Regions from separate parts of the Mus musculus genome. Here regions 1, 2, 4, 5, 6 and 7 are each reported to be linked to region 3. Evidence: microRNA targets listed by miRTarBase, many of them from high-throughput screens and not tested one by one. Region 3 holds a microRNA gene; each other region holds the end of a gene's coding sequence.
Evidence for each region. Region 3 holds the annotated microRNA mmu-miR-543-3p (AAACAUUCGCGGUGCACUUCUU, at 2,721-2,742, shown strand). A microRNA usually pairs through its seed, bases 2 to 8, with sites in the 3' UTR of a target mRNA and lowers its output. Matches are read on the target gene's strand: a 7mer-m8 pairs with bases 2 to 8, a 7mer-A1 pairs with bases 2 to 7 and ends in A, and an 8mer does both.

Region 1: miRTarBase lists Osbpl3 as a target of mmu-miR-543-3p. Seed matches in the 3' UTR shown: 8mer at 880-887, 7mer-m8 at 1,136-1,142 and 7mer-A1 at 3,567-3,573.
Region 2: the mRNA of Zfp131 is a reported target of mmu-miR-543-3p. Seed matches in the 3' UTR shown: 8mer at 1,317-1,324.
Region 4: miRTarBase lists Smarca4 as a target of mmu-miR-543-3p. Seed matches in the 3' UTR shown: 7mer-m8 at 2,350-2,356.
Region 5: the mRNA of Spsb4 is a reported target of mmu-miR-543-3p. Seed matches in the 3' UTR shown: 7mer-m8 at 2,553-2,559.
Region 6: miRTarBase lists Shisa9 as a target of mmu-miR-543-3p. Seed matches in the 3' UTR shown: 7mer-m8 at 3,529-3,535.
Region 7: the mRNA of Atp10a is a reported target of mmu-miR-543-3p. Seed matches in the 3' UTR shown: 7mer-A1 at 383-389 and 7mer-A1 at 814-820.

The regions. Positions count from the first base shown.
Region 1 is chr6:50,293,687-50,297,686 of GRCm38, reverse strand. It overlaps Osbpl3 (oxysterol binding protein-like 3), which reads left to right. Exons shown (of 24, transcript NM_001347213.1): 24 at 526-4,000. The coding sequence ends at 622. Among named protein-coding and RNA genes, the nearest start is that of Gsdme, 34 kb to the right of the region's middle.
Region 2 is chr13:119,763,049-119,767,127 of GRCm38, reverse strand. Zfp131 (zinc finger protein 131) reads left to right here. Exons shown (of 8, transcript NM_001302548.1): 8 at 102-1,942. The coding sequence ends at 776. The region is part of intron 1 of Gm41077 (predicted gene, 41077); the gene reads right to left. Among named protein-coding and RNA genes, the nearest start is that of Nim1k, 9.2 kb to the right of the region's middle.
Region 3 is chr12:109,714,584-109,718,662 of GRCm38, forward strand. Mir543 (microRNA 543) reads left to right here and starts at 2,675; the gene lies at 2,675-2,750. It overlaps Mir494 (microRNA 494), which reads left to right and starts at 735; the gene lies at 735-819. Mir679 (microRNA 679) reads left to right here and starts at 994; the gene lies at 994-1,067. Mir1193 (microRNA 1193) reads left to right here and starts at 1,088; the gene lies at 1,088-1,208. It also overlaps Mir666.
Region 4 is chr9:21,702,242-21,706,320 of GRCm38, reverse strand. It overlaps Smarca4 (SWI/SNF related, matrix associated, actin dependent regulator of chromatin, subfamily a, member 4), which reads right to left. Exons shown (of 34, transcript NM_001174078.1): 34 at 2,091-3,385. The coding sequence ends at 3,353. Among named protein-coding and RNA genes, the nearest start is that of Gm26511, 19 kb to the left of the region's middle.
Region 5 is chr9:96,941,131-96,945,209 of GRCm38, forward strand. It overlaps Spsb4 (splA/ryanodine receptor domain and SOCS box containing 4), which reads right to left. Exons shown (of 3, transcript NM_145134.3): 3 at 2,352-3,574. The coding sequence ends at 3,447. Among named protein-coding and RNA genes, the nearest start is that of Gm51657, 46 kb to the left of the region's middle.
Region 6 is chr16:12,267,299-12,271,377 of GRCm38, forward strand. It overlaps Shisa9 (shisa family member 9), which reads left to right. Exons shown (of 5, transcript NM_028277.2): 5 at 126-3,606. The coding sequence ends at 505. Among named protein-coding and RNA genes, the nearest start is that of Shisa9, 290 kb to the left of the region's middle.
Region 7 is chr7:58,828,432-58,832,510 of GRCm38, forward strand. It overlaps Atp10a (ATPase, class V, type 10A), which reads left to right. Exons shown (of 21, transcript NM_009728.2): 21 at 1-995. The coding sequence ends at 306. Among named protein-coding and RNA genes, the nearest start is that of Gm39019, 99 kb to the left of the region's middle.

The sequences.
Region 1 (4,000 bases), not on the chromosome of region 3:
GACGTGAGGCTGGGAGGTAGGGCTAACCAGAAAATGGTAGGCTCTGGATCCTTTTGTGCCCTTTGAATTTCTATCTATGTAGGAGATGATCTTTTCCCAGAGCCCTAAACCAAAAGTTCTCTCATGACTGTTACGGTCCAGTTCCTTTTTGTTCATTCTATTTGGCTTTATGCTAACTTAGACTGACCTCGATCAGCCTGGTTGATTGGGTAGTATTTAGTTGTTCCCAGTGTGGTGGCTATCAGTCCAGTCTTGTTTGATGTACAGCATACAGAGAGAGGGTGGATGGGGACACACACACACACATACAGAGGGGGCATCCTTTTAGAAGCACCACCTTCCCAACTTCCAGGCTTAAGTATATATCAGAAATAAAAAATGTTTGTCAGTCTTTGGACACCACTCAAATACCCAAACAAGAACAATGAATTTCTCTGGAGTGATGGTGGGCAAGCAAAGGAAGGAGGGGGAGAGAGGAGGTCATAGCGGACTCTAAGAGAAGCTGTCTCGTCTCATCTCTCACAGGAAATCCAGTGACGATGCTTGGGTAAGCAATGGGACCTACCTGGAACTGAGGAAAGACCTTGGCTTTTCCAAGTTGGACCATCCCGTCTTATGGTGAAATGTAAAAGAGAAGGAGATTTCCTGTAACTTTGCCCACATTTGCTTCCGGAAGCAGCGCACAGCTGTCTGTATGTTTAAAAGATAGCATCTAGAATGATCACTTGTGCTTAGCGTAGCATTGTAAGCGCTGAAGTATATATTTTCTTCAGTAAGTCTCTTTAAAATTTCAAGTGTTATCATGATTGTTTATATGAATGTAGAACACCTCGGTATTTCTTTTTATATATATAAACTATTTAATAAAAATGAAAGATTGAATGTTAATGTGTGGGTTACAAAAAAAAAAACATTTAACACTAATTTTCCAGAGGTAAGGGGGAAATTTCAAATTTATGCCTTATAAAATCACACTGGAAAAAAATTGTCCCAGATGCGTTAAGAAATAATAACACCCAGGGATACTCACCCATGCATAGCTACCCAGGGTTAATTGGTAGCTGGGATATCTTTTCGCCTCAGACAGCTCTTCGATTGCTCATACAGAACAATTCTGCCGGTGCTGAAGTACCAAGAATGTTTTCATTTGCATTTTCCTGGTTAAGAAATCTGTATAAAGTTAGTGAGATGCATATTCTTTATATAAGGTGGGCATCAAGCAACCAGAAGTGCAAACTTCCCTCCCTTTACTTCTGTTGCCTTGTGTATAAAACTGCCCCCAGCTTGCCTAGAGACGTTGCCTTCATCAGAGAAGACTCCATTAATTCAGTGTCCCAATGGTGTCCTAGGGAGGCAGCAGACGTTTCGTTTGTCCTCAGTAAGAGCTGAATCCTTAAAAATTTAAGAAACTACTTTCAGCTTCCTGCTCCACCCCTGGCTTGCAAGCCCTCTTTTTGGCCCCTATTGAGGATGAAATGTCTCTCATTTAGTATAAACAGTAACAGCCCACGGCAGTGTGACCTTCTAAACTTCAGCGAAGTCACTGGTGGCTTTAAATAACCCAGCGTTGTTCCTCCACACGGCTTTGGTACTCTCTACCTCTTACCGAGCACCGCCCTTTTGACCTTGTATAGCCAGTTTGACCATCTGCCTTATAGACAAACATTGCTGTTCTTCTATGTCGTCCTCTTGAGAAAGCTGCAAGGGTTTACCTCTTTCCTTGACTCTCTTCTTATTTGTAATACTCTGAGTTCTGCATCTGTCTCAGACAGGAGCTACCAAAGGGAAACTGTTGTTCTTATAAGTGTCTTACTTTAAATCATGATAATAGAATGTGCACAGTAGCTGAATTGTGTTATCAAAACAACTCTGACTTCTGCCCAGAGCACATTAAAACCAAAGTCTGATTGTTAAGCCTTTGACTCGGATGTCTGTAGCAGTTCTATGAAACATTGCGTGTAATGATAGGGTAAAGAGATTTCTATAGAACGAATTTGGGAGGCCAGTGAGATCGGCTCGGCAGGCACAGGCACTTATTGTGTGAACCTGGCACTGGGTCCAGTCTCCAGGACCTATCTAAAAGATAGAAGGAAAGAGCCAACTCCCAGAGTTGACCTGTGTCACACCAGATAACCAACTGCACTGCTGAAGTTTTCACAAGTGGAGTGTTGAAGGTGAATCAGTAGTCTTTGGAGTCTACAAGTGACTGTCATTTTAAGCAACTCATTAAATATTGGTTCATTTTTTTTCCATGTTGTGGAGACACCAAGATGAACGCAGCATGAATCTCATTTCCATTTCTAAGCAGCTGGGTGGTGCGGCGATTCTTTAGTTCCTGTTTTGTTTTTTTTCCTTTTCAAGCGCTATCCACATCTGACCACAGGCTGGAGATGTAAGCAGGGATCTCGGCAGGGAAACAAACCCGAGAGGACACGTGGGATTTCAGCAATACTGACTGTGAAGTAGGCCTGCTCGAGAGGCCGCCCCAAAGGAGAAGGAAAATGACAAAAAAAAAAAAAAAATCCCACAAAATCGAGAATGTATCCCCAGAATCAGTACAGCCAGTTGTTTGAACATTCTTAAAGTATCTCGTGGTATAATTTCTGTTGACTTCAAGCTTTAATTTGGATCCACACCTACAGCTGACCCAAATGTCTCCTCTGTAGTCATCTTATTTGGATCAGGGAGAAGCATGAACAAAAATATGTTCCAGAACCATGTGCAAGCTCTGTAAGTCACTGCCCGTGTCTGGATGAAGGGCTTTCGGAATGTAGATGGTCAGGAGGTGCATGCTGCTATGTGAATCTTAAAACTCCCTGCTGGAGGGAGGAGGCTGCTACATTCCTCTCGTTCTGTCTCACACACTCTTCCTCCGAGTTTGTGTGTCTAGAACTTGGATGTTTCCATAAGGAAAACAGAACTGTGGTATTGTTTCGAGAAGAATTAAGTAAAGTTTAATCTTTCTGAACTCCTGACTTACTCCAGTACACAATGCCAATCGCTGCACCATTTGATGTGCATGTTTCAGCCCCTTTCATTCTAATTATCCTATTTCAAGTTTATGGTAAGTCACAGATGTTCTCCCAGTAGCAGGACCTTGTGCTAACCACAAACTGCACCTTCTCAGTACTCACAACCCCGATCTGCAAGGTATCGTTAAGGAATGAGTATCTTCAGTGTGGCAAAGGAGTAGTGTAGTTCCCTCCACAGGCCCTGTCGTAATAAAAGCCTCAGTGCAGCTTCTTCCTGCAGTTCACATCTTGATGCTAGGATGCTCCTGGTACTAACTAAACATTGGCAGTTCACATCCCAGACACCAGGGGTCAGGTACTAACTAAAGAGATGGAATGCAGTGTGCTTTTTGAGACACTAGGGGGAGCCTGGTATTAACTAAACAGCTTGCCATTCAACAGTCTCAGGAGGGTTCTTGTACTAAACAGATGGGGGTTCACTCTAGGTCATAAATACAATTACCTACTAAGTAGCAAGAATGCCTCAGCAATCCCCAAGCCTTCCAGTGCCTCTGGGGGCTTCCTGATGGAAAACTACACAAACTGAGTTTTTTAAATGTTAACTCCACTTAGGCTTCTGTTTTCCTCATATCCTATTTTTAATTACTTCCAATAAATCATTTGCTCAGCCTTCTAGCACTGTCTTCCTTTGTATTTGTCAGATTTATGATGCATTGTTTCAGTCTACCCTTAAAGAAGTCAAGCCAAAAATAGAGGTGAGGGCTACTTTGCTTCTTAATGTAGGCCTACTGTGCACACCACACACTCTCTCTGAGGGACTGTAGCTATTAGATACTGTCCTCACACCCTCGAGCTACCAGCCAGGGCTCTAAGTTGCTCTCGTGATCTTAGTTAGAAATACAGGCTACAGTGTTTGGTCAGAATTTATTCGAATGTCTTTATTTTTAATACCAACATCAGCATAAATCTATTTTTGCTAGTAGATCAAAGCTATTTTCACACGCTCTGTTTTCTATCTTGTATCGATC
Region 2 (4,079 bases), not on the chromosome of region 3:
TAACTTCAACCAGTCTGTGTATTTTATGGGGAATAAGTGTATTCACATTTACTTTGGTATGATTATAGTTATTATTGACATACTATATTTGGTGATTTCAGGTCTGTAACAGTGTATTTAACAGCTGGGACCAGTTCAAAGATCACTTGGTAATACACACTGGAGATAAACCCAACCATTGTACTCTGTGTGACTTGTGGTTTATGCAAGGAAATGAATTACGGAGGCATCTTAGTGATGCTCACAATATTTCAGAGCGTATAGTAACTGAAGAAGTCCTTTCAGTAGAAACACATTTACAAACCGAGCCAGTGACATCAATGACTATTATAGAGCAAGTTGGGAAAGTGCATGTGTTGCCACTGCTTCAGGTCCAAGTGGATTCCGCACAAGTAACTGTGGAACAAGTTCATCCAGATCTGCTCCAGGACAGCCAAGTGCATGATTCACAAATGACCGGGCTTCCAGAGCAGGTCCAAGTGAGTTATCTGGAAGTGGGCCGAATTCAGACTGAAGAAGGCACTGAAGTACATGTTGAAGAGCTTCACGTTGAACGGGTAAATCAGATGCCAGTTGAAGTACAGACTGAGCTTCTAGAAGCTGACTTGGATCACATGACCCCTGAAATCATGAGCCAAGAGGAGAGAGAGCCTAACCATGCAGATGCTGCCATGGAAGAACACGAAGATGCTGAGGGGTTAGAGACCAAACCAAGCGAGTATTCCCAAGCTAGAAAAACAGAGAATGACAGGACATCTCTGCCGGTTTTAGAATGAAATAACAGTTATATTTTTAAATTTACATTTGTGGTAAACTGATGGGCAGTGTGACCTTAAGCTATCAAATAAGTGGACCAAAGTTAAACTATTTCTGTTGTGCTGAACTGTTTCTATGGAAACAGGCTGATGTCCTTCCAGTTAATGCCACAGAGTGGGAATATTCCTCATAATGAGTGGAAGCTTTGAGAAGTATATTTCTGTTAACTTAAATGAATTATATTCTTATTATATAGTTGGGTACGAATGCATCTATTTTCATTGTGGTAAGGGTCTCTGTATCCTCTTCCCCAGGTCATGTCTTTCCTTAAATTCTTTGCATATTATAAAATCATACTTAAAACCATTAGAATACGTACATTTGTATTCTAATGCATGTTAAAAAGTTGAGTATGTAGGCAACACAAGGCTGCATGAGGGAAGTGCATTGTTACGTGCAGTTAATAGTTGGGGGCTGGCTTTATTTTGAACAACATTCTTGTCTATCCAGTGGCTACAAATGTTGTCCCCACAACAGAAACGGTGGTGGCAGAATTTCTAGAATGTTAAAAAACAAAAACAAAACAAAAAAAAAAAAACCACCCTGTGCCTTTTCAAAGCCAACAAAACTTCAGAAAAACACCTCTGGTTCTTTCAAAGTTTGTGTTTTAAAGTGCTCTGGTACTTGGTATTTTTTGCTAAAATGACAACTACCAATTCTTTTTCCTTTAAGTTACATTGAAATTTTTTCATTTAACGGCAGCTGAAGGGCCATTTTCAATTGGAAAAGTTCACTTCCATCTGTGGTAAACTTTATTTTGATGAGAAGTTGCACTAGTATTTTACCACCAGATGGAAAAAATATTAGGTGAGCATCATTTTTAAATTAATGTATTTAAAATAAAGTACAGAGGATATGTACATGTATATAATATATCAGGCTTTTGTTTTGAGTGGAATCTTTTCCCCCCAATTCTTAATGTAAAGATTTTGTGCTATAACTTTTAAAGCCATACAAATAAGAGTGCTAAACTGTGGACTTAAAAGTAGTTGTGTAAATATTTTTAATCAGTATTACTTGGAAAATAAAAATAACAACCACGTAAAATCAATATTGCTATTTTCTTTACCTGTTAAATACTGGGAGATAATTTACGTTTTAAAGTAAACTTTAAAATTATGTGTTATTTTATGTGTATGGGTGTTTTGTTTGTATGCATGTCTGTGTACCATGTGCGTGCCTGATGCCCCCTCCCAAAACCCAGAAGATGGGTAGAGTTGGTTGTGAGCTGCCATATGGGTGCTGAAAATCAGACCTAGGTCCCCAGAAAGAGCAGAGTGCTCTAAGCCATCTCCAGCCCTCTTACATTTTTTTAATTATCAATTTGGAGATACTTCATGCACTTTTGTGACTGTGGTAAACAGGGCTCATTAATTAAGATAAAAGATTGTTAATACATACTTCCTAACCCAAGAGCTAGCTAAGAAGGCCAAGACACAAGTTACTTGTATTTTGTAAATATTATTGGCAAAAATTGGAAGTGGTATTTTTTTTAGAAGTGTCTATTTATTTTAAACATGTTTTTCCAATTGTTTTTAAAGAGATCAGCTCAAGTAATACTTTTGGTAATTGTGGTATTAAATGGTAACATCACATAGTTTTATATCACTCAGTTTGTTAATATTAAGATCAGGCTTACAAAGTGTTTATCACTAGACCACATTTTATATGTTGAGTAAGCCAACAACAAATTAGACCTAAATGTAAAGTTTTAATTTCTGTTTAGCATGTGTTGTCTTCAGTGAAAAGGTGGCCATTGAGGAGCTCACTTGAAAGTAGTCTTAAAACTGATGTGGAAAAATGGGAGGGAGGGAGGAGAGCTTTTGAAGGCCCTGTGTTGATTACATTTGGAGAAGGGGACCCAAGCAAAATGTATTTCATGTGCAATGTGCTGAAGTGTGCTGTAACTCTTTAACAAAACTTGTCATAAAGGATTGAAATGAGAATCAGCGCCAGACTAAAGGCCTAGAAGTGTGTTTTGCTCTAATCAGCTAGTCAGAGCATGGAGGACATCTAACCTCTGTGCTGTAAACAGCCCCTCCTCCACGGTAAGTCCAAAGGCAGCATATTTCTTCTTGATGGTAGTGAGATGTGATTTAGCTGAAATAACCTCTACCTTAGTAATTCTACAAATGTGACCTGGGAATGGAAAGTTTGATTGTAATGATAGCTGTCAGTCATAAATCACCTATGTATATACATCCACACACTTAAAGTCTCATTGACTGGGTGAGAGAATGGCTGGAGCTAGTTACGTACATCATTAAGTAGTTACCTCTACTTCAGAGTGTACAAAGCATAAGAAATACTCATTTTCTTTCTGGTGTCCACTCCAGCTTTTCATGGGGCTGGGAGTAGAGGAGATAAGAGATCTGTTAAGCTGTCAAGGAACCTCACATCCTTGCCCTGAGGCTGTGTACTCCCATTTGTGAATCTCCCTTTTACTGGCATTCCAGTTTGTAAGAAAACTGCGGTTTAATAACATGTCACTCCCAAAGATTTTTTTAATTTACATAACCCAGGATATCTGGTAGTTGTTAGATTAGATGATGCCCTTATTGGAGAAAAGTAAGTCATCTGTCTAAACAAGTTTATGGGAACTACATCAAGAAGTTCAAGTTGTTTGTTACTGACAAGGAAGAAAGGAAAACCCACCTGGGATGACAGACCACTCAAAGTGTGCTTGCCTGCCCGTGGCCCTGCTGCACTTCATCTATACTTGTACCTCAGGCTCCTAAAGTGGCTCTTGATGGGGAAGAGAACTCCTCCCACCTAGTCAGGGTGCAACATTTATCTCTGGAGCACTGGCCTTTGGTGAGCAGGCAGGTAGTAGCCTAGCAGTTACCAGAATCTTGTTACAAGCAACTTGCTAGGCTCCACATCCAGACTTGAATATTCTATTGGTCTGGGTTAGTGCCTGGGAGTTGGAATTACTAAACGAATTCCCCGATAGTGGATATCACTGGCTGTTGGGTCTGGGGTCATTTGGTGTATAACTGACATAAGTGATAAAGGACTTACAGGAAACACTTGGTTAGCCAAGTTTGTGTGTGTGTGTGTGTGTGTGTATGTACATACATGTTGGGGATGTTTTTTTTCAATACCGGGGACCAAACCTAATGCCTTGACTATGCTACAGAAATGTTTTACTAACTGAGCTGTATCTTCAGCCCAGGAGTGACTGAGAGGCTCTTTATAGAGCTTCCACCTGCTATTACAGATTTTTCATGGTAGCTTTTGATTGTAGTGATGAGACCAAGACA
Region 3 (4,079 bases):
CCAGGGTTGTGGTCAGCAGTAGAGCTTTCTGTGGGGTTCCAGGTAGAACACAATTCTCATCTGCAAATCATGAGCCCTTTTCATAGGCATTTCATATCAGATATCTACATTATGATTTATAACAGTAGCAAAATCACAGTTATGAAGTAACATTGAAAATAATTTTACAGTTGGGGATTACCCAACATGAGGAAGTATATTAAAGGGTCACAGCACTAGGAAGGTTGAGAACCACTCGACCAGGGGGTGGAACTGCCTGCCCCTGCCTGCTGCTTCTTTATACTACCACATGTGCTGGCACACATTTACCTTCCTACTAACTTTATAATGTGTCTGCTTTTAGAATCTTACCTTCCCTGGAAACTACCCAGACTCACAACCAGAGGGCTGGGTCGCTTCTCATCACCCACCTACCTCTTGGAACCAGAATCCGAGGCTCATTCCTGAACACCCCCAATGTACTGTACTTGTTGAAGTTGAGAGCTACTATTCCCCTGTTATCTCCTGAGGCACAATTTCTGGGGTCCCTGGTTCCCTTCAGTGACCCCCCCTAAACCTGGAGAGATAAGGAATGCAGGTGGTCTGTGTTGTTGGTAAATAGTCTCAGGCAATTCTGTGGACTGTCAAATTGCACAGGGGTTTTGGTTGCTCTCCAGGGCCCACAGAAGCAGACACTTCTGACAAGGCACCTGGCACTTTCCAGCTGCCTTTGTTTGCTTTCTGACCAGTGCTAATTGATACTTGAAGGAGAGGTTGTCCGTGTTGTCTTCTCTTTATTTATGATGAAACATACACGGGAAACCTCTTTTTTAGTATCAAATCCCACCCTGGGGGCACTCCCTGTCCCTGATGACGCCTTCAGGGAAGGGACCTGGACTGCTGTTCCCTGGACTCTGGGACATGGGACATGGGAGTATGGCATCAGGACTCAGCCCTGGAAGGAAAGTCATTTGAAGAAGGGACAGGGTCCCCGTGGTGGCCTGAGGCTACTCCCTATGGCTTTGGACTGTGAGGTGACTCTTGGTGTGTGATGGCTTTTCAGCAAGGTCCTCCTCACAGTAGCTATAAGGACGTGCCAGCATCGTGACTGAAGGGACAATGATGCCCACTGTTCTCGGGGTAGCTGTGTGGATGGTAGACCGGTGACGTACACTTCATTTATGCTGTAGGTCACCCGTTTTACTATCCACCAACACCCAGACCATCTGTGGGAAGACACCTTGGTGCACACGGCAGCTATGAAGAAGATGTTGGTGGGGTTGAGGCCAGCGTGAAACTAAAATATTTCAAGCAGAGTTAGCTTTTAAGGGGGATCCTTTTTCTGCTTGTGTGTGTACATATATGTGTTCAAGAGAGAGAGTGTGTGTGTGTGTGTGTGTGTGTGTGTTGGGGGGGGGCTACCATGGGCGTGACTTTCATTTTATGATCCTGTATCTTTGCAGTAAACAACGCCATCCTGGAGGATCCCCTGAATGTGAAGCTATATCCCAAGCTGGGGCACATTTCTCCTGGTGGGTGAGTGACAGGTCTCTCTAGCCCAGCATCAAGCCCACATCTGTCACTTATGGCATAGGCTTCGTTGTTCTTGCTCATCTCCATGTCTGTTCAATTTTGCTTGTCTTCTGAGGATTCAAATCATTGGCTGCTTCCCAGCACAAGTACCTGACTAGGAGATGTATTTCAGATATGACATCTCCTTAGGGAAGGACACCAGAGTCCTCATCAATGGAAAAGGTATGTCATGGTGTTCTGTCTGAAAGAATATATTATATTTTCATGTGTGTCCTTCTTTACTAATGCTGAGTATGCCTTCCATACCTAGGACGACCTCCTGATGTATTGCTACCCTGGGGGTGAAGGTGGCTTCCTTGCCCCTCCTCCAGGCTCCTGGCAAGTGGTTCTTGCAGCCATGGCAGAGACATAGAAAGTAAGTAGGAACTCTCCGACTGAGATTAGGAACTACTGTGATTCTGCTCATGTTTCATTGGTCAAGCCAATGAAGGGTGGGGAGGTGCCCTGTAGCCATGTCATGAGGGAGAGAACATGTGTACAAGCATAGGCAACCAACTATCTACCTGGAACACCTAAGAAGTCTATCTTTATTCATGTTCTTTTTTTTTTTTAATCTCAATGTTCCATTTCCCAGCAAGTGGAGGGTCAACAGAATCTGTTCTCAGAACACCACATGCCACTTACATATATTTTTGTCCAGGAGACATTGTCTCGTTCTGACAAAGGCTCAGATATCTTTTTGTTTCCCATTTCATGATAACCTCCTTGCATCAGGGCCTCCACCGTGGAACATAGGTTGATGTCCTCCCCTCTAGCAGATGGGTGGTGACCTCGACTGAGAGGTCACGGGACCCACCTCCTCTCTTGTCACGGATCCAGAGCTGGACTTTGGGAAGCAAAGTCAGGATTATTATATCATTCTCTGATGTTTGAGGAGACTCCAAAGACCTCCCCAAAGGATGACCAATCCAAAGCCTGTCTACAAGATCCTGATTCTGCCTGCGTGGAGCGGGCACAGCTGTGAGAGCCCCCTAGGTACAGCGGGGCTGCAGCGTGATCGCCTGCTCACGCACAGGAAGTGACGACAGCGGTACTCAAGCCACAGGAAGTGACGACAGCGGTACACAAGTGGTACACAGGGTTCCATGCTGCTGACGTACGGTGCTTAATGAGAAGTTGCCCGCGTGTTTTTCGCTTTATATGTGACGAAACATTCGCGGTGCACTTCTTTTTCAGCATCCTATTCTACGTTGAAGACTTCGGGGGTTCAACTACTTACTGACTTCAGGGAAGCCATGTTAGTCTAGGAAAGTAGTCTATGTAGTGAGCCTGGGTTGTGTGAGTTTATCTCCCTTCTTGAATGGTCCTCTGACCTTTCTTAATGAGAATGGGTTTGGGTTGGTTGGCTCCTGCTCCCTCCTCCCTCCTCCACAACACAGTGTCAAAGGAACCAGTTGACCAGACATTATTGATTCCTAGATGAGACCTTAGCCCACAGGGAGATGTTTGCTGAGACTTCTGGGAGGGGAATGAGTCTTCATTTCTGTGAGAGATGTCTGAGTGGATCTCACTGTTCCCTGAGTTTGAAGGCCAGCTAGAATTCAAGAGGACAGTACCCAGGGCTGTTTAGACAGAGGGGGAAGTGCCTGTCCCAGAGGAACCATGGGACATTTGAGTAACAGTACAATCTGGGACCTGCATCCGACACTCCTTGAAGCTCAACACGTCACTGTACCTTTAAGTTATATTAGCCTGGATGCCTCCTTTGTGTGTAAGTCAGCTTGAGGTGGGCCTTTCCTTACTATGAGAGGAATGGATGGCTCCTTGTTGAGTGGCCTGTCAATGAGTGTAACTGGCATTCTTTGGATGGTATGTTCTCTTGCTCATTATTCCCATTGTCCAGTCTAAGGTAGGTAGTTGGTACCAAGTCACTTTCCTTTGTGGTTCAGATATATTGCTGTAGTGTTGTAACCTTCCAGTAACGGTAACACACACTAATCAATGCGTTTTGTTTTCAGGGAAGGGTCGGTCATATGTCCCGTTCAGGACAGCCGCAAGATGATGAACGGACATTGCATCCCCAGACATCTCACACGCTCAGAATCCTGGAGCCTCCCATTTCAACCTGTTCTTCTGCTTCCCAGTACCCTGTGAGCTCTTTGTTGTATTTGTCTACATCGTAAGTCACTTCTGGGTGCGGGAGAGGGGGGACCTCAGAGGGCATCATCCAGGCACTCACACAGCTGGTTTAGGCTGCCCTGGATTTTGCCACCTAGTTCTTTGACTTTTTTTTTTTTTCTCAGCTTCAGAAGAGGATCCTGGAACTGAGAGAGGAGATTCTGTCTTGGAGTTTGGCACCATCCCATTTCCCCCGAGTGACACTTCAGAATGACTGGCAAGGATGGTAGGCAACATCTCAGAATCTTCAGTCTTCGTCCCAGGTCTTCCTGAGATCCTGAGGTAGAGGGGGTTTGGGCTGGATTGCTATGGCAGTGATGAGTACTGAGCCACTCCCCTTGCCTCAGGACCCCCATCCCTGTCCCCCTCCCGGCCAAGTATCTGCCTCA
Region 4 (4,079 bases), not on the chromosome of region 3:
CACCACGGTTTCCATCTGCTCTATACTTCTGACAGAAGAGACGAAAGGTCACATAGAGCCTGTTGGGGTGATTTTGGACTTTGCTGCTCTTTATAATGAATAACCACTCTGGTCTGTTTTGCCTTCCCTGTGAAGGGCTCACTTTTACATGTATGCACATATGTATGGATGTATTTAATGTGTGTAGGGGGCTCATATGTGAAGGGGAGAAACTTATGGGAGTGGATTGTTGCCTTCACCAACTGGGCAGGCTGTGCGTTCTATGCCTTTACACAGCTTGCTGCCCGGACTACAATTCAAAGCCCATTTAGTCATTTTTATTTTACGTATATGAGTTAGCCTGCATGTACCATGTGCGCGTGCCTGGTGCTGTGAGCTGCCATGTGAGCTCTGCAAACCAAATCTGGGTCCTCTGCAGGAACAGCAAATGTACTTAGCTACTGAGCCATCTCTCCAACCAACCCAAGACCCACATTTTACTACATTCCATTAAAAAAACTGTGTTTAGAGTTCAAGAACTCCTAGGCTAACTCATATACATAAAATAATAATGAATAAACGTGTTTTGAATTGTGGTGGTCTAGGAAACTGGCATAAAGGCATAGCACACCTGACACCAGAGAGATTCAACCTGAGGGAGTGGAATCTCTCCTTCCTCCACCTGGACTCTGCAAAGCAAACTCAGCCTGTCAGGCTTGGCAGCAAGTACCTGTAACTGCTAGGCTAGCTCTCTGGTCCCCAGGACACTTTTTTGAATTTGGAGACAAGTTCTCATCATGCAGTACTTGCTATGTACACTAAGCTACTATTGAATGCAGAGATCTTCCCACCCCTGCAGGGACTGGAAGCATGCATCACTCCGCCTGACTGTAGAACTCATGTTTAGTTTATGTGCTTTGCTATGTATATCTTGTGGGCTATATGCATGCAGTACCCCGAGGCAAGAAGTGGGCACTGAACCTCCTAGGACTGGAGGAACAAATGGTTGTGAGCCTGTGTGTGGGTGCTGGGAATTGAACTTAGATCCTCTGGAAGAGTACCCAGTGCTCTTAACTGCTCTCCAGTCCCTAGAACTCTTTTTTTTTTTTTTTTTTTTTTTTCTTGTTTTTTTGAGACAGGGTTTCTCTGAGTAGCCCTGGCTGTCCTCGAACTCAGAAATCTGCCTGCCTCTGCCACCCAAGTGCTGGGATTAAAGGTGTGCGCCACCACCGCCTGACTCCTAGAACTCTTTAATTTTTCCCCCAAGACAGCTTCTCTGTATTCCCTTCTTGTATAGCCCAGGCTGTCTTGAAACTTACTCTGTAGACCAGGTTGGCCTTGGAAGATAAATTCAAGAGCACTAGCTAGGTGGTACAGGCCTGCAATCTCAGCATTTGGGATCATCATGAGTTAACAGCAAGCTGCACCTCCATACCAAGTTTAAGGTCACCCTGGCCTACGTGAAACTGTCTCATAACAATATAAAGCAGCCTTGGTAGAACTTTAATCCCAGCACTTGAGAGGCAGAGGCAGGTGATCTCTGTGAGTTCAAGGCCTACTGGTCTCCACAGAGTTCCAGGACAGCCATGGCTACACAAGAGAAACTCTACCTTGAAAAACCGAAAATAAAGAAATGAATAAATCCACCAGCTTTTGCCTCCTGGGATTAAAGGTGTATACTATATGCCTGGCCCCAGAACAAATTTTTTGTTATTTTGAGACAGGGCCTATGAACCCTATGAATCTTGGAATTCACTATACAGGCCTTGAAATCGGAGATCTTTGCCTCTGCTGCCACACTCTCGGATCTTTCCCTCCTGGGAAGTCTCCTGTGGGGTTTGTTGTACAGTGTGTCTCTGTGGTATTCCTTGGCTCTAGACTTCCAGGAGACCTTTCTCTTCAGAGCTGTAAGACCTTGGGACAAACTTCCACCACTGGAGTGGAGTACAACACTTCTCTTGGAGTACAACACTTCCCCTTTCGCCTTAGAGCTGTCACACAACTGTGGCTCCCAAGGCAGCTGGTAGCTACGGATGGCCAAAGACTGAGCGGTAATGGAGAACTGGAGGGCAAAAGGGCTGCAGGCAGAACTGGGGCTTATAGGCACAGAACCAAGGCAAGTCCTACTTATTTATTTCAGTCTTCATTTAAAAGAATGCTTCTTTTTGAGATTGGAGAAATGGCTCAGTGGTGAAGAGTACTAACTGCTGTTGCAAAGGCCCAGGAACCCACACAGTTGCTCACAGCCTCATGTGACTCCAGTTCCAGATCCAATGCCCTCCCTTGACCTCTGTAGGCTCTAGGAATGTACTTGATACACACACACACACACACACACACACACACACACACACACACACATTCAGGCAAAACATTCACACAAAAATGTCTATAATTTAAAAAAGAATTATTTTACGTATGTATGTATATATACACATTCATATGTGAGGGCATGGGCATCGCATCGGGTAAGAGGGCAATACTGAATGTGGGCTCTGATTCATTTGAAGCAGGGTCTTGTCACTGCCTGGCATGCTAGTTGGAGCGCCTGGGGTTCCTCTTTGTGCCTTCATCTTAAGAGCACAGGACTGCAGGACTAAATTAGCCTGGCCCTGTGCCTGTGGCACTTTCGCCTATGGTACCATCTCCCCAGTGCAAGTCATGGACTGCCTCCGTGTGGATGTGTGTGTCCCGTGTATGTAATTCAGTGTGTGTACATCTGCACATGAGGGCCAGAGGTGGATGCTAGGCATCATCTTTGATTGCTTTCCACGTACACATTGAGGTGGAGGCTCTAACTTGAAGCTCACTGACTTGGCTTGTTTAGGGTGTGTGGGTGATGGGAATGCAAAACCCATACACCTGGCAAGGCAAGTACTTTGCCCATAAGTTAGACCCAGTTCCTAAAAGTCTTTCTTTCTTCTCTGTGGCCCCGGAGCCACTGCTGACAGCAAGGAGTCCAGGGAGCCAGTGGTGGCTTGTCATTGCTTTAATTTATTACTGTCTGACTCCAGTGACACTGACATACCCGCTGGGCCTGTGAGCCTCCTGGAGAGCTGGCCCTGTCCAGTAAGATACAGTACAAGGAGCGGCCGGCACGCGCATGCATCCACTGAGCTACAGTGACTGGGGCCTGGGGAGGTGGATGGTGCTCCCAGGAGGTCCCCTCTCTAGACAGTTAATGCTGGTAGAGACTCGAGGCCAGGCCAGGGCCGACAGACAGGCCTATACTTCTCTGCCTAAAAATGTGGAAGATTGCATGTGTACAGTTCTCCAAGTTCGAAACTACATCTGGTGCTACCCATCACTGCTAAGGGCTACTCCATCTTGGCTGGGACGAGCGCCTCGGGGTCAGGACTCAGGAATGTCTGGTTCAGTCTTCCTCACTGCCACTTCCTGAGCGGTCCTGAAAGAACAGGGGGAATAGTTTGTGAGTAGGCTGCGGCCTAGGCACTCTCCCTTGTCCATGGTGTTCTCAATGCTGTGGAAGGGCCTAGATCCTTAAGGGATAAATTATCTTACTGTGGCAAAAAAAAAAAAACTGCATCAAGGAGGCTGGCAAGACGACTCAGCAGTTAAGAGCACTGATTACTCTTCCAAAGGTCCTGGGTTCAAATCCCAGCAACCACATAGTGGCTCACAACCATCCTTAACGAGATCTGACTCCCTCTTCTGGAGTGTCTGAAGACAGCTACAGTATACTTACATATAATAAATAAATAAATGAATCTTTGAAAAAAAAAAAAAGAAAACTGCATCAAAACTTGGACCTTGCCCTGCACCATGGTAGGGACAGGCCAACATGGAACCCCATAAGAGGCAGCCACTCATTATAGCCATTCTTGAGTATGAACATGTCTTCTGACTGCCATTTTGGTCTAATAGAGCTCAGGCTGGCCTCAAACTTGCTAGGCAACCAAGGATGGTCATGAACGCCTCCTGATCTTCCGGCTTCTACCTCCCAAGGCCTGGGATCACGGGAGTTTACTACTATGCCTGCAGCCATTATCTTATTAAGAGTCATTTTTAGGGTTGGAGAGACGACTCAATAGCTAAGAAAACTGGCTGCTCTTACAAAGGACACGAATTCACTCCTGAGA
Region 5 (4,079 bases), not on the chromosome of region 3:
CCTTAGAGTCAAAGTTCTCAGAAAGCAAACGCTGTGCCAATGGTGCTCTAGACTCCCGCGTGTGTCCCATGCGTGTCCAGCCTGCAGACTGCAGGCCACATGTGACCAAAGGCAGTTATGAATGTGGCCCAACACAAATGTGAGAACTTACTTAAACATTGTGTTTTTACTATATAAAACCCCCCCAGTTGTATGATCCTGGAGCATGAATTTTGTAGGTGATTATGTGTAGGACATTCCTTGTAAGCTCAACGCCTGAGCAACACTTCACCGAAGACAGGAAGAATAACACCGTGCAGGTGAAGGAGGATGCGATTGTCTTAGGCTGCACACTTATCCCCTCAGAATATGTGTACCTTTCTTCCCTAAAAGAAAATGCATTGGAGATAGAGACTGTTGATCTAGCCTGGGCTCTGTTTAGCAGCCATGATGGAAAGGCCAGGGCCACAGTGCTGGCCTGGAGCCTGTTAGAACCAGGGAGCTGCCTCCAGCCACAGCATAGCAGGCTAGGGTGCTCTCCTCTGGGCCTGAGGCCATCATGGACAGGGAGATGTGCAGAAGCAGCACCCCAGGATACTTCACACAGGACAGCTAACAGACAACGATTGTAGTTTATGGAAAGATAGCTGGATGTGGTTTTGTCTCCTATCCATTGCTGCTGTATCCAACATTTTTTCAAGTTTTTTGTTTGTTTGTTTGTTTTTTAAAGCATGTGTATGAATGTTCTGCCTCCTCTCACCTGTCTAGCTCCTTGTCAGGACTCAGTACCTAACTCCCCAGTGGCTTTCTGTAGCCTGACTCCTAGCCCCCACCTCACCCCATCATCCCCTCGAACACCATGCTGCTTCTTTGCTTGGGGGCCATCTTTATCTCCCCCTTAGACTGTGAGGTCTGGCAAAGCTGGGCCAGGACTCAGTCATTTCAGGATAGTGCTGTAGGTATGGTCACGAGAGGACAGGGAGCTTAGGAGAACTTAGGGGTCGGTCCTCAGCTCTGGGAGGACCTCATCCCTACTTGAGCTACTTGAGCTCTTCCCTTGCAGTTTCCTCTGGGTGTCCCAGTTTGCAGAGGACATTCTATCTGTCCCGCTCCTCTACAGGCCTTTGCAGAGCTGATGTGTCTGACCTACGAGGCTGTTGTAGGTATAGGCACCGGCCCAGCCCTCCAGAGACCCACAGCCTGCTGGATCCATGAGGCTAAGGGCAGATAGGACCCAATACAAGTGCTCAGAATAGGGTCCTTGGTGCCGGGAGATACATGCTCAGAACTGATAGCTCAGAGCAGGAAGACACTGGTGGGTGGTTATGGGGTGTCTAGATGAAGGCTGATCTCATTAATCATGAGAGGGTGAAGTGAGGGAGGGAAGGCACTGTTAGAATGAGAGAAGCCACGAAGCTTAGGAGCTGAGACAAAAGGGCTTCTTCCAAAATGGAAAGTGGTGCTGAAACTTGGACCCTAGAGGCTGGGAGAGGGACGGTCCTTAGTCAGTCACTGGCTACCTGGTCAAGCTCCTTGTGCCCAGAGGGGAAAGTGACTTACCCAAGGTGACTGTGTATAAACAAGGAAGCCTGAACCCCAACCCAGGCTTCCCGACCAGTGCCCAAGCTTGTGCCTCTCCCGGAAGCTGCTTTTAGCAACCACAACAACTGAACGCTTTGGCAGCTGAGTCAGTCAGTGGCCAGGCAGGTGCTTAGAGCCTGCAGCCTGGAGACGCCATTCCTATCCTGTCTCCAGCCTCAGGGTGGGCAGACAACGTGTGTCTCATATTCGCTCTTCTGATCACAAGAAATTGTCTCTTCCCCTCCCCTCCTCCTCCTGCTGAGTTCCTCAAGGTCTTACAACAAACTGTAAATGTCCCCACCCAGGACAGAGACATCAGTCTGACACTGCCCTAGAGTCTGGTGTGGTGTGGTATATGGGTGGCTGATGCTGCTAAGTGAATCCTGTACTGGTCCTGACATAGTCCCCTTCCTGTCCCTAACTGCTAACCTGCTACCAGCCCCAGCAGAGCTCAGCTTAACTCTGCCTCATTTGCTCTGCAGCAACCAGCACTGCTCCCTGGTGGCCAACTGCATTCAGCCCCAGAGCCAGGTCTTGGGTTTACCCTGACTGACTCTGGTCACCTTGAACATCTAAGGCTTCAGCATCAGGGCTTATAGGAGTCTTTGAAGATCCTGGGGACAGAGTGTCTTCCAGATCGGGTCTCTACATCTCTGTGGTTGGGGTTCGAATGTGGACGTTTGTGTGTGTGTGTGTGTGTGTGTGTGTACAGAGAGGCACTCCCAGGTTTGATGTCTGTGGATCTGGGGACAGACCAGGGAGGATGATGGATAGAGCACTTTACACACAGCTGAAGGACAGAATGACAAACTTTTATTAGAAATGTTCCTTGCTTGTAGGTCACATTCACATTACAGTGTAGGCTGCACTGTCTGGCTCTGTATCCTACTCTGTGATGATTTCCAGTTAAAACTGAGTCTGGGTGGAGGGTATCTTGGAACACACAAAAGATGCCAAATGGTGGCGCTGGCGGCAGCAGCAGCAGCAGCAGCAACATTCTGTGAGAGGATAGGTCTCAGGTCCTGCAGAGACTGTTATACCCACCTTTGCAGTCCCAAGGCCACACCGCGGGGCCCCAGCTGATAAATAAACGGTGCATCACACACATATTGGAAACGAGAAACAAACTGGAAGTCTCCTACAGTGAAAAAATAATTTGCTCAAAGAAAGCTTTGTGACAGCCAGGCTTCACCCTGAATGATGGCTGCCAGAGCCCTGGATACTCAGGGTGTCTCAGACTTGGTGTCACGAGGGCCCCATCTTCCTTAGCACCTTTGGGAGAAAGCCACCTTCACCACACTCCTCTTTCAAAAAAAAAAAATGCAAACACTACTTACAATGATCATACCCAAGAAGAAACTCTGTCCCCAGGGCAAGTCATCAGATTCATGTCCCTGAATAAAGTGGGGAGGGGAATGGCCAAAGAACTTTATCCATGACGGAAGAGGGCAGGAGGGGATGAGGAAACCGGCTCAGAGAGGTAAGGCCAGGTGCTTTTGCCCTGCTGTGGGACCCTGGACTCATCTCTCAAAGTGGTACCAAGTCTTAAAATGGAGGACAGTCTCTCTGCCCTGGCCAGGGGCAGGCGTGGAGGAGACCATCAAGGGCTGGCTTCTGTCATTCATTATTCAGAACCCATTTTCTCTCCACTGGCCAATTTTCCTGGGTCTGTCTGCAGTGGGGAACTAACTGGATGCCGTCTCCTGCCCAATGTTTTATTCATTCTCTTGAGGAAGATAATGGTCTCTACACTCTGGTTCACGAGGTGGCCTCCTGGTCCTGGTCGGTGGCAGCAATGGCAACAGGCATTCCTTTTCCAAGTCACTGATGTGTCCTGACGCTCTGGAGCTGTGTGACCACAGATGACAGCCGATCCTCAGCGCCGCTCACTGGTACTGCAGGTAGTTTTTCAGAGACTGAGGCAGGGGCAGGGAGCCGATGTCACGCAGGCGCTGTCGGCCCAGGGCTGAGCGGATGGATCGCCGGCACAGGTCCATCAGCGGCAGAGGCTCAGCTGCAAAGACAGTGAAGCAAGCGTGAGTGCCCACACCTCCTCACTCCGCCTAGCTTGCCTGCTGCCTACCCTTGCCCCTGAGCTGGCTCAGTGCTCCCTGCTACTGAAGAGCCATCCCTGCTTGCAGTAAGAGGCACTCAGCAATGATTATGAAAGGCAGCTGCAGCTGCTCAGACTATAACGTTTAGAACAACCGCTAAATAGTGGTATTTAAAGATGAATAGTGGAAACAAAGTTATCCACTGCCAGGGTAAGTTCTGATGTAGAATGTGTGGCTCAAAACGTTTAGGATGATTTATCTCAGGGTACTCAGGAGGCTGAGGCGGAAGGATCATTTGAGCCCAGAAGTTCAATACCAGCCTGGGCAACACAGCCAGATCCCGTCTCAAAACAAGCAAGCAGACAGGTTAGATTCCACCAGGCTATTGAGATTCTTTCAAACCCACACGCTTTCCCTCCAGTGTTTATGATGGGCAATGGAAGGACACATTTTCTTACAGCACTC
Region 6 (4,079 bases), not on the chromosome of region 3:
TGTCTGGATTGTCAACTATTTTTTTTTTTTGCAGTATTCTCAAGTTGGCTTGCCTAACTCCCTAACTCTCTCTTCTCTCTCCCCTGTTTCTGCTCTCTTCTCCATCAACACATCCCACTGAGCAGCTGACAAGGTCAATGATGACTTCTACGCCAAAAGAAGGCACCTGGCAGAGCTGGCTGTCAAGGGAAATCTCCCTTTGCACCCTGTAAGAGTGGAAGATGAGCCTCGCGCCTTCAGCCCAGAGCACGGGCCTGCACAGCAGAATGGACAGAAGTCTCGCACCAACAAGATGCCCCCACATCCCCTGGCCTACAACTCTACTGCCAACTTTAAGACCTGGGACCCCAGTGACCAGTCTCTCCGGCGGCAGGCTTATGGCAACAAGGGCAAGCTTGGCATAGCTGAGTCAGGCTCTTGTGACCCCTTGGGGACTCGCACCCAGCACTTCCCACCCACACAGCCATATTTCATCACTAACAGCAAAACAGAAGTGACTGTCTGAGCTTTTACTTCAGGGAGCACCCTGGAGACCACACTCAACTGAAAGAGGCAAAAAATATCATCCCACTTACACCTTCCTGGTCCTGTACACCCCACTCCCAACCCCTCAGCAGACACACACTCCGGGTGTTCTACAGGAACCAACCACAGACCTACTCATAAGGAGTCATGCTTTTCCTGGGTCATGCCTACTATGCTCCCGCAGGCAGCTGAGCGAGACCGAAGCATGGACATTCAGCAATATAGAGGGGAAACTTTCAGCTTCAGGCCCAAATTGTGGGGGCTCATTTCCTTTTCCCCCAAGAGAAAACTGAAATCCATTTTAACAGATATATAAGTAGCACAATTTAGACAAACTGCCCATGGAGCGCATTGGGTCCCCCTGTTCTGTCTTTCCTGGTAGAAGAAAAAGGATGGGCACACGAAGAGGAGTGTGCCAGAGTGCTTGGGAAGGAATTTGCTCATGTCACAAGCATTTCCTTGTCCCAAGAAGTGATGCAAACACAGAATAGTGAAAAGTGTGAGGTAGTAATGGACCCTGAGTGTCACACTGATGGAACATTGCATACCATTGAAGCTGAAAGCAAAAAGCTCACAAAGTAAGTCTTCTCTAAGCCCTTGGTCAATGATGGAAAGGGGAGAACATTCTAAAGAACTCCCTGGAAGACCATGATGTTGGCAGTGATAGGTTTTTATGATGGCCAAGGGGTCCAGAGAATAATAAAGAAGAACTTCTAAAGTGACACATTAAATGAACACACAAAATATTAGTTTTGCCCGGGACTTAGAGAACCTGCAGTTGGAGAGTTAACAGCAGGTGAGAGGCACAGAGGAGCCTTCACTTCCCGGGTCATCTCCAAGAACTGGAACAAAGACAAAAACCATCCTCTATGAACAGTCTGTCCCCACCACTCTTTCCCTTTCAGCGTGCCGCTGCCACTGCTGCCAAACTTCAACTGCTTTGGAGTGAAAAATGTCATAAGTGTGGGTGGTGCCTTCAGTGTGTCGCTGTTGTTCAAGTGATGGTCTCGTTTCCCAAGTGCATCCTCTGTTCCTTTAACCTTCCTGCCTCCTGTTTTCCTGCAGTAGTGATGTTGTCTTTCCTTTGTAGGTGAGCCCAGACAATTAACACCCTTTGAAGGAGCTGCTACAATGTCAGAGGTACCTAAGAATACCCCAGTTCCCACCCTCCCACCAGATTACCTCCAGGGGCACCCTCATGCCATCCTTTCTTACCTGGACTCTCCCAAAGTTGCGTTAAAGATTGGTTCCATCAGCCACAGCCATTGGATCCCAACAAGGAAGGTCCCCCTGAAAGTCTTTTGTTTAGTGGAAGGGCAGACAGGTGCATGGAGAGGCAAGAGAGTTTTGTTTAGAAAGAAGAGTCTGCAACTATCCCCTGGAACTCTGAGCTAATTTACAGGAATCTTCTAAAACCTCACAGCTTCTTTGGTGTAAAAATCTAGTGAAATAGAATTGGAGCATCCCATGTGGTGATGTTCTGCTGCCTGGGCTCTCGGCATCACAGCATCAGCATACCAGATAGTTTCCATGTTCCAAGCAAGTAGGAAGAATTTGGCAATATCTTTGATCTTTCCAGGGCTGTGTCCCATCTGAAGCATGGGGAATCTGACTTAAGTAAAGCCTTTTCAGTTTTTTAAAAACAGTACTCTGTTCTTATTTACAAAAGAAATTCTGCAAAGTCCAAACTTTATAAGATTCTAAAAAAGAAGAGGTGCAGAGGCTAACACAGAGGTCGGAGTAAATGTTGAGAGCCCTGCACTCTCGATAGAGCAGTATGAGCTACTGGCTTGCACATCTCTCTTTGACATGAGTTAATTATGTCCTCGCCACACATCAGCATCCGGGGATTATCATCACAGTATTTGGTATCTGAATGCATTTGCTTTTAAGCCATGTTATTTTAAAAGGGAAGCATTTTGTATTTATCACATATAGAACACTAGCATCCATTGCCATGAACAGACAATAAACATTATGGGAAACATATTGGCCTCAAAGACAAAACTCTAGTGGACATCTGGCCTGCTCTCTTGTTTCTCAAAAAGACCTTAGTCTAGTTAAAGATACTGGTACACAATAGAGAGTTTGTCCTTGGAATAATCCAGTGAAGGGGAAAGCAGATGAAAAAAAAAGAAAACCTCCCTTTTTTAAGTTGGTGTTAGATCGTGCCCTCTATCCATATGCTACCTCCATGACATACAATTTGCATGCACTAGTGACATACAGTCCTACTTCAAGAAGTACTTACCTGAAACGTTCTTTTCAGGTCAAGTTCTGCAATCTTTTCCTTCCTTCCAGCTCAATTTCCCCTCTCCACTCCCTTCACTTCCCCTTCATCTAACTCTAACTTAAAAGTCTTTCTTGATCTTTAGTCTATTTCTTACTCATCCTTCTTTTTGAAGATGACTTCATCCAAGTAGACGTGGCTCCTTGGTCTGCAATTGTAATTTTGACTTCCAAGACAGAGTCTGGCCACTAGCAGGTAGCATATACTTCCCAAGTAATTCGGTCATAGACAGCTCGCACAGTGCTTGCTCGTTGCTTCCTGTTTGACTTTGGGAGATGAACTGTGGAGTGACAATCAGTAGAGAATATCTGTTTATTCTTTGCCTTCCTCTTGGGAAGGCAGATAAACCTTACAATATTGAAAGAGAACATGACCTATACAATAATTGAAGAGAAAGAGTAAGATTATAAAACTGTTTTCTTCTCCTTCCATGTGATCCCCAATTTCTAACTCTATGGGACCAGATCCTGGCTTCCCTCACCTTCCTGGAGTCTTAACCTCCATCCGCCTTGGGCTCTGCCTGGAATTCCCATCTAACCTCCCCCAGATTTTTTTTTTTGTGTGTGTGTATAAATGGAGCATATTTTATGTGCAAATATTTTAGTAACCGTATGTTCTGCAAGTAAACCTGTGTTAACACTTGTCACACTGCAGAGTTTATGATACAATAACACTTCCTACAATGAAGAAAAAAACATTTGTTTGTTTTCTAAGAATGTTTATTTGTAAACATATGTATTCACTATATTAATATGAATTTCTTACCTGGCAATAAACTGATTATATGTGATGCTCAGGGAGTCTTCTTATGCTTCTGGGGGCCCCGAGGCTGGTGTGAGCTTCCTGTGGGAACGTAATGTAGCTGCTCAGCACTGTTCTTCCAGGCTCACAGAACCAATCCTCTCAGGGAATGGAAGCTCCTAGTTGTCGGCAACTTATACAAGATTTCCAGACCTATTGTTCGGTCTTTTTGGTAAGTATGCACATGTCAGAATTAACTGGGTCCTTATATTTCTGGGTCTCTTTATCATCACTACATCCATATCAATAAGAACCTGGCTGAACCTCAGACAGTTACTTCTGCTAATAACCAGGTGGCCGTGGGCATGACTGCCGTGGGCATGACTACTGACAAGATGGGAGAAGGCTCTTTCCCTCTTTATTCAACTGTATTTCCTAGCTGGCCTCCATCATTTCTCCAGCATCAGACAGAAACTTGTTAAAAATGGCTCTTCCTGAAAGAGGCTGAAAGTCTGAAACACCA
Region 7 (4,079 bases), not on the chromosome of region 3:
GGCTCTCAGGCCTCAGGGTCCTCCATGCCCAGAGGGGCTATTTCAGAAGTATGTCCTGGGGATTCTAAGAGACAATCCACCAGTGCTAGTCAGACTGCCCGTTTGTCGTCACTCTTCCATCTGCCCAGCTTTGGCTCCCTAAATTGGATCTCCTCGCTGTCACTGGCCAGTGGGCTGGGAAGTGTCTTGCAATTGTCTGGAAGTAGTTTACAGATGGATAAGCAGGATGGTGAGTTTCTATCCAACCCACCACAGCCAGAGCAGGACCTGCACAGCTTCCAGGGACAAGTCACGGGCTACTTATAGTATCACCTCCGAAGGGCCACAGCCAAATGTGGTGACAAAGAAATCCTTGAAATGGCCTTTTTATTATTATGTAACAAATGTTAATTTTATTTATGTTTATTATTTGCACAGAAGAGTTCTAGAAAGATGTATTTTTTAAATGTTTCCAAGACATATATAGGAAGCCAGAGGTACCAAAAAGAAAGTTTATTTTTTAAAAGTTCTAAGTAGAGTATACTTAAGAAAAATAAGAACACATATCTTTATCTATCTATATATAAAGTTTAAAGAAGAGTGACACTTGAAAAGTGTGTCTAGATTTATTTTTTCATCTCATTTTTGTAAGGAAAAGCAATGTGCATTGTTTCTTCAACACACATGACCCTCACTTTCTGCCAGCAGACATAAACATACAGTTAGTCCGGTGAAGCCTGGGGTAGCTGTGGCGGGTGTGGACACAGGACAGGGAGGAAAGAAGACAGACGGAAGGGCATGTGACCTTTGAGGCAAATACCTCCATTGTCTTCCAATGTTACTAACAGTGAACAGAAAGTGAAACCTTGAGGAAAACCCATGTGACGTTTCTGCCACCACTCACATCTGGGCAGGCATTTCATAAAGTTCACCTCATGGGTCTGACAGCTCCGGTGTTGTGTGTATTTCTTGCTTAAATCATCACAGGCAATAAACAACCCCCACTATGCAATGAGAGTGTCTGGTGCCACTGTTGTGTGAAGATCCTGGTGGGTGACACAAGCTAGAGTGTTCTGAATACTGTGAGGACACTTCCTCATGCAAGTCCTTTCAGACACCAAAGAAAAAAATACTGTGGGGTATAGGTCAGGGCCACCAAGTGACCTCTTATCCCAATCTCCTTGCACCAGGCCATAGGCAACAGCCAGATTCTGCCAACCAAACTCTTAAACGTTCTGAGTAGCTACGATCAGGCTTTTGTCTGATGAGCTAGCATTTCTCCTTGTTCCAAAATGATTAAAACTCTCATGACAAACTCTCATATATCAATGACAGTGTTAACTCACCCCCAATGTAGTGACCATCCTGTCCCACACTTAGGATAGGAAGTGAGCAGAGTATGTCTCAGGCTCATCCAGTGGGTAGCTGTCTCCTTAGGCTGCAATGCAGAGGGACAGAGGATAATGATTTGGGAAAGAACTACCCACTAAATATGGTTCTTGTCAAACAGAATGTCCCTCATTCCTCAGAGTGGAAGCTGTGAGGAAACTGTGTGTAGAGGGGTATATTTTCTATGGTACTGTGTTCCTAGACACAGGCTCACTTGCCCTGACAAACTTGGTAAATAAATGAAGAAATGACAGACAGACAGACAGTCAGACAGACAGACAGACAGACAGACAGACACGGGAGGGACAGGAAGGGAATGGGACAGAGAAAGGAAGTGGAGTCTGGTGGAGTGAGCTCCCGGGTGGCGAAGCATTGTCACCCAGAAGCACAGTATGTTTATTACATAGAGTTGAAGAGAGAGGCAGGTCTATTGCACCCAAATAAACAAGGAGGCAGGGTTTATGGAGTACAGTTGGATCGAGGAGACAGGTTTAGGTAAATTAGGAGGAAGTCGCTGTAGGGGAGTGGTCTGCAGCCTATGAACATCCAGCAAGCAGGAAGCTGTGGTAGACATTTTTGATAAACAGTGCCAACATCCATAGATGGAACAGAAGGGAAAGCTTTGCTGTCGCCCTTTAGGTCTGAAACCATGGTCCTTGACATGTCTGTGCCGATGTCAACAGTGCATGCCCACTCAGGACTTCATCCACTGGGGGCTTTCTCTGCTCCCCACACTACACTTCTTGATAGAGCTGGCAGAGACACCTGGGTGCTTTGAGATGGGGGTGGCAGAAGTTAGTGGGAGGCAATTTTTGCACTGGCATTGCAGGATCAAAGGCAACAGCTCTCCTAACTGGGTCCCTGTTGTGTCACTCCCTGCCATGCCTAGTGCCACCTTTTCTGTTCTTGGGAGCCACACATCTGAAAAGTTTTTATGTGTGAAGCTGTGTTCTTATCACAAGACCACAATAACAAGCATATACCTGTGTGTGTGTGCATGTGTGTGTGCGTGTGTGTGTGTGTGTGTGTGCATGCACATGCACACACACGTAAATGTGTGCATGTCTGACTTTAAAATGACCCAATGTCCAGATGCCCTGCACTCACAGCCTTGCTTCTTTGCAGGAGAAATATTCCCTCTGAGGATAGGGTTTCTTGGCAAAGGATCTGGGCATTAGCTTCAGAAACTTTCATAGCAAAGCCCGGTTAGAGAAATATTTCAAAAGTTATGGCAGTTGGCTATTTATAGGGTGAGAAATACTTATGCAATTTACCGTAGTCTATTCCAGCCAACCACGTTCATCTCAACATAGCATAATATGGGGTGAAAGTCATGAACCCTTCTGAAACATTCCACCTAAAATACATTGCCAAAACCTAACAAAAGGTTTGAAAATTTGAATATTTACAAAAGAGCAATTAGTGGAAGGGGAGAGACTAAAATCAACATTATTACTACATGACTGGGTAATATGCCTAGAAGTTCAAATGAATAAATAAGAAGCTCTCAGTAATCTAAGGAGGAATTCTATCAGCTCTCTATGCTGGTGGATGGTTGCACTCATCCAGCTTTGGGCATCAAAGTAACTGAATGAGGTAATAAACATTGCACAGCATGGCTACTTGCCTCAAAATCAAAACCAACTTCTCAGGCAGCAGGGATTGTGTCATTCTGCCTTGCATGTCTGACATTGCACAGAATCTAATATCTTAGATGCATTCAACAAATATTGGTAAGTAAAAGAATCAACCTATTAATAAAAATTAAAGATACTCCTATTAAAATCATATTAAAAATTACTTGTTATAACTCATTATTTGTTTAATAGTTTCCAGATTTTCTCGCTGATACCATAGCATATGAATTTCTTAAAGTTAATTCCTAAATGGCAGAAAGTAAAGATAACCATTGTTCATACATGATACAATTTAATACCTGGAAAATCCCAAATGAATAAATTTAAAAGGCTCTTAGAATTAATGAAAAGGAAGAAATAAATCATTTCACTGGAAGAAAAACTAGCCACAGTTTGTATAGAGAACAGTGGGAATCATGCAGGTGTACTGATGAAGGCTGAAGAGGTCTCAGTTGCCACAATATGAAGAAAAACAAATATTGAAGAACAATCTCTGTGAGCAGAAAAGAAGGCGTCATCTCTAAATTAGAAAATGTGAAGCTGTCTCATTCCATACATATTTCCTGTCAGCCATTCTCAATTTTCAGTTTCTTTGTTTGGGTAGTTCTGAAATTAACAAAGTGGTTCAAGATTTTATGTAGGACAATATATGGAAAAAAAAATACCAAAGAAAGTTCCACCAATAAATCATGAACAGAAAATGTCTGCTTTATTCAGTAAAGTATTAGTTAATCCTAGAGTTGAACACAAAGCTAACTACGATCGTTAAGGGATAATGGACAGTTCAGATAGGAATGCTTTATGGCATTCAGATTCTTAATGTACAATTTGTTCAAGAAAGATATATGAAGAGAAGAAACATGATATGCCATTTTACAATAAGAATTTATGGTTAAAAGGATTAAGGGAAAGCTATTTATAAATTCATATTTATAATAAATGTAATATATATATCACATATAATCAGGTGATATAGAAAATATTCATTATATATGTGTGTATATATATATACACATACATACATACATACATACATACATACATACATACATACATACAATAAAATAAACTTGA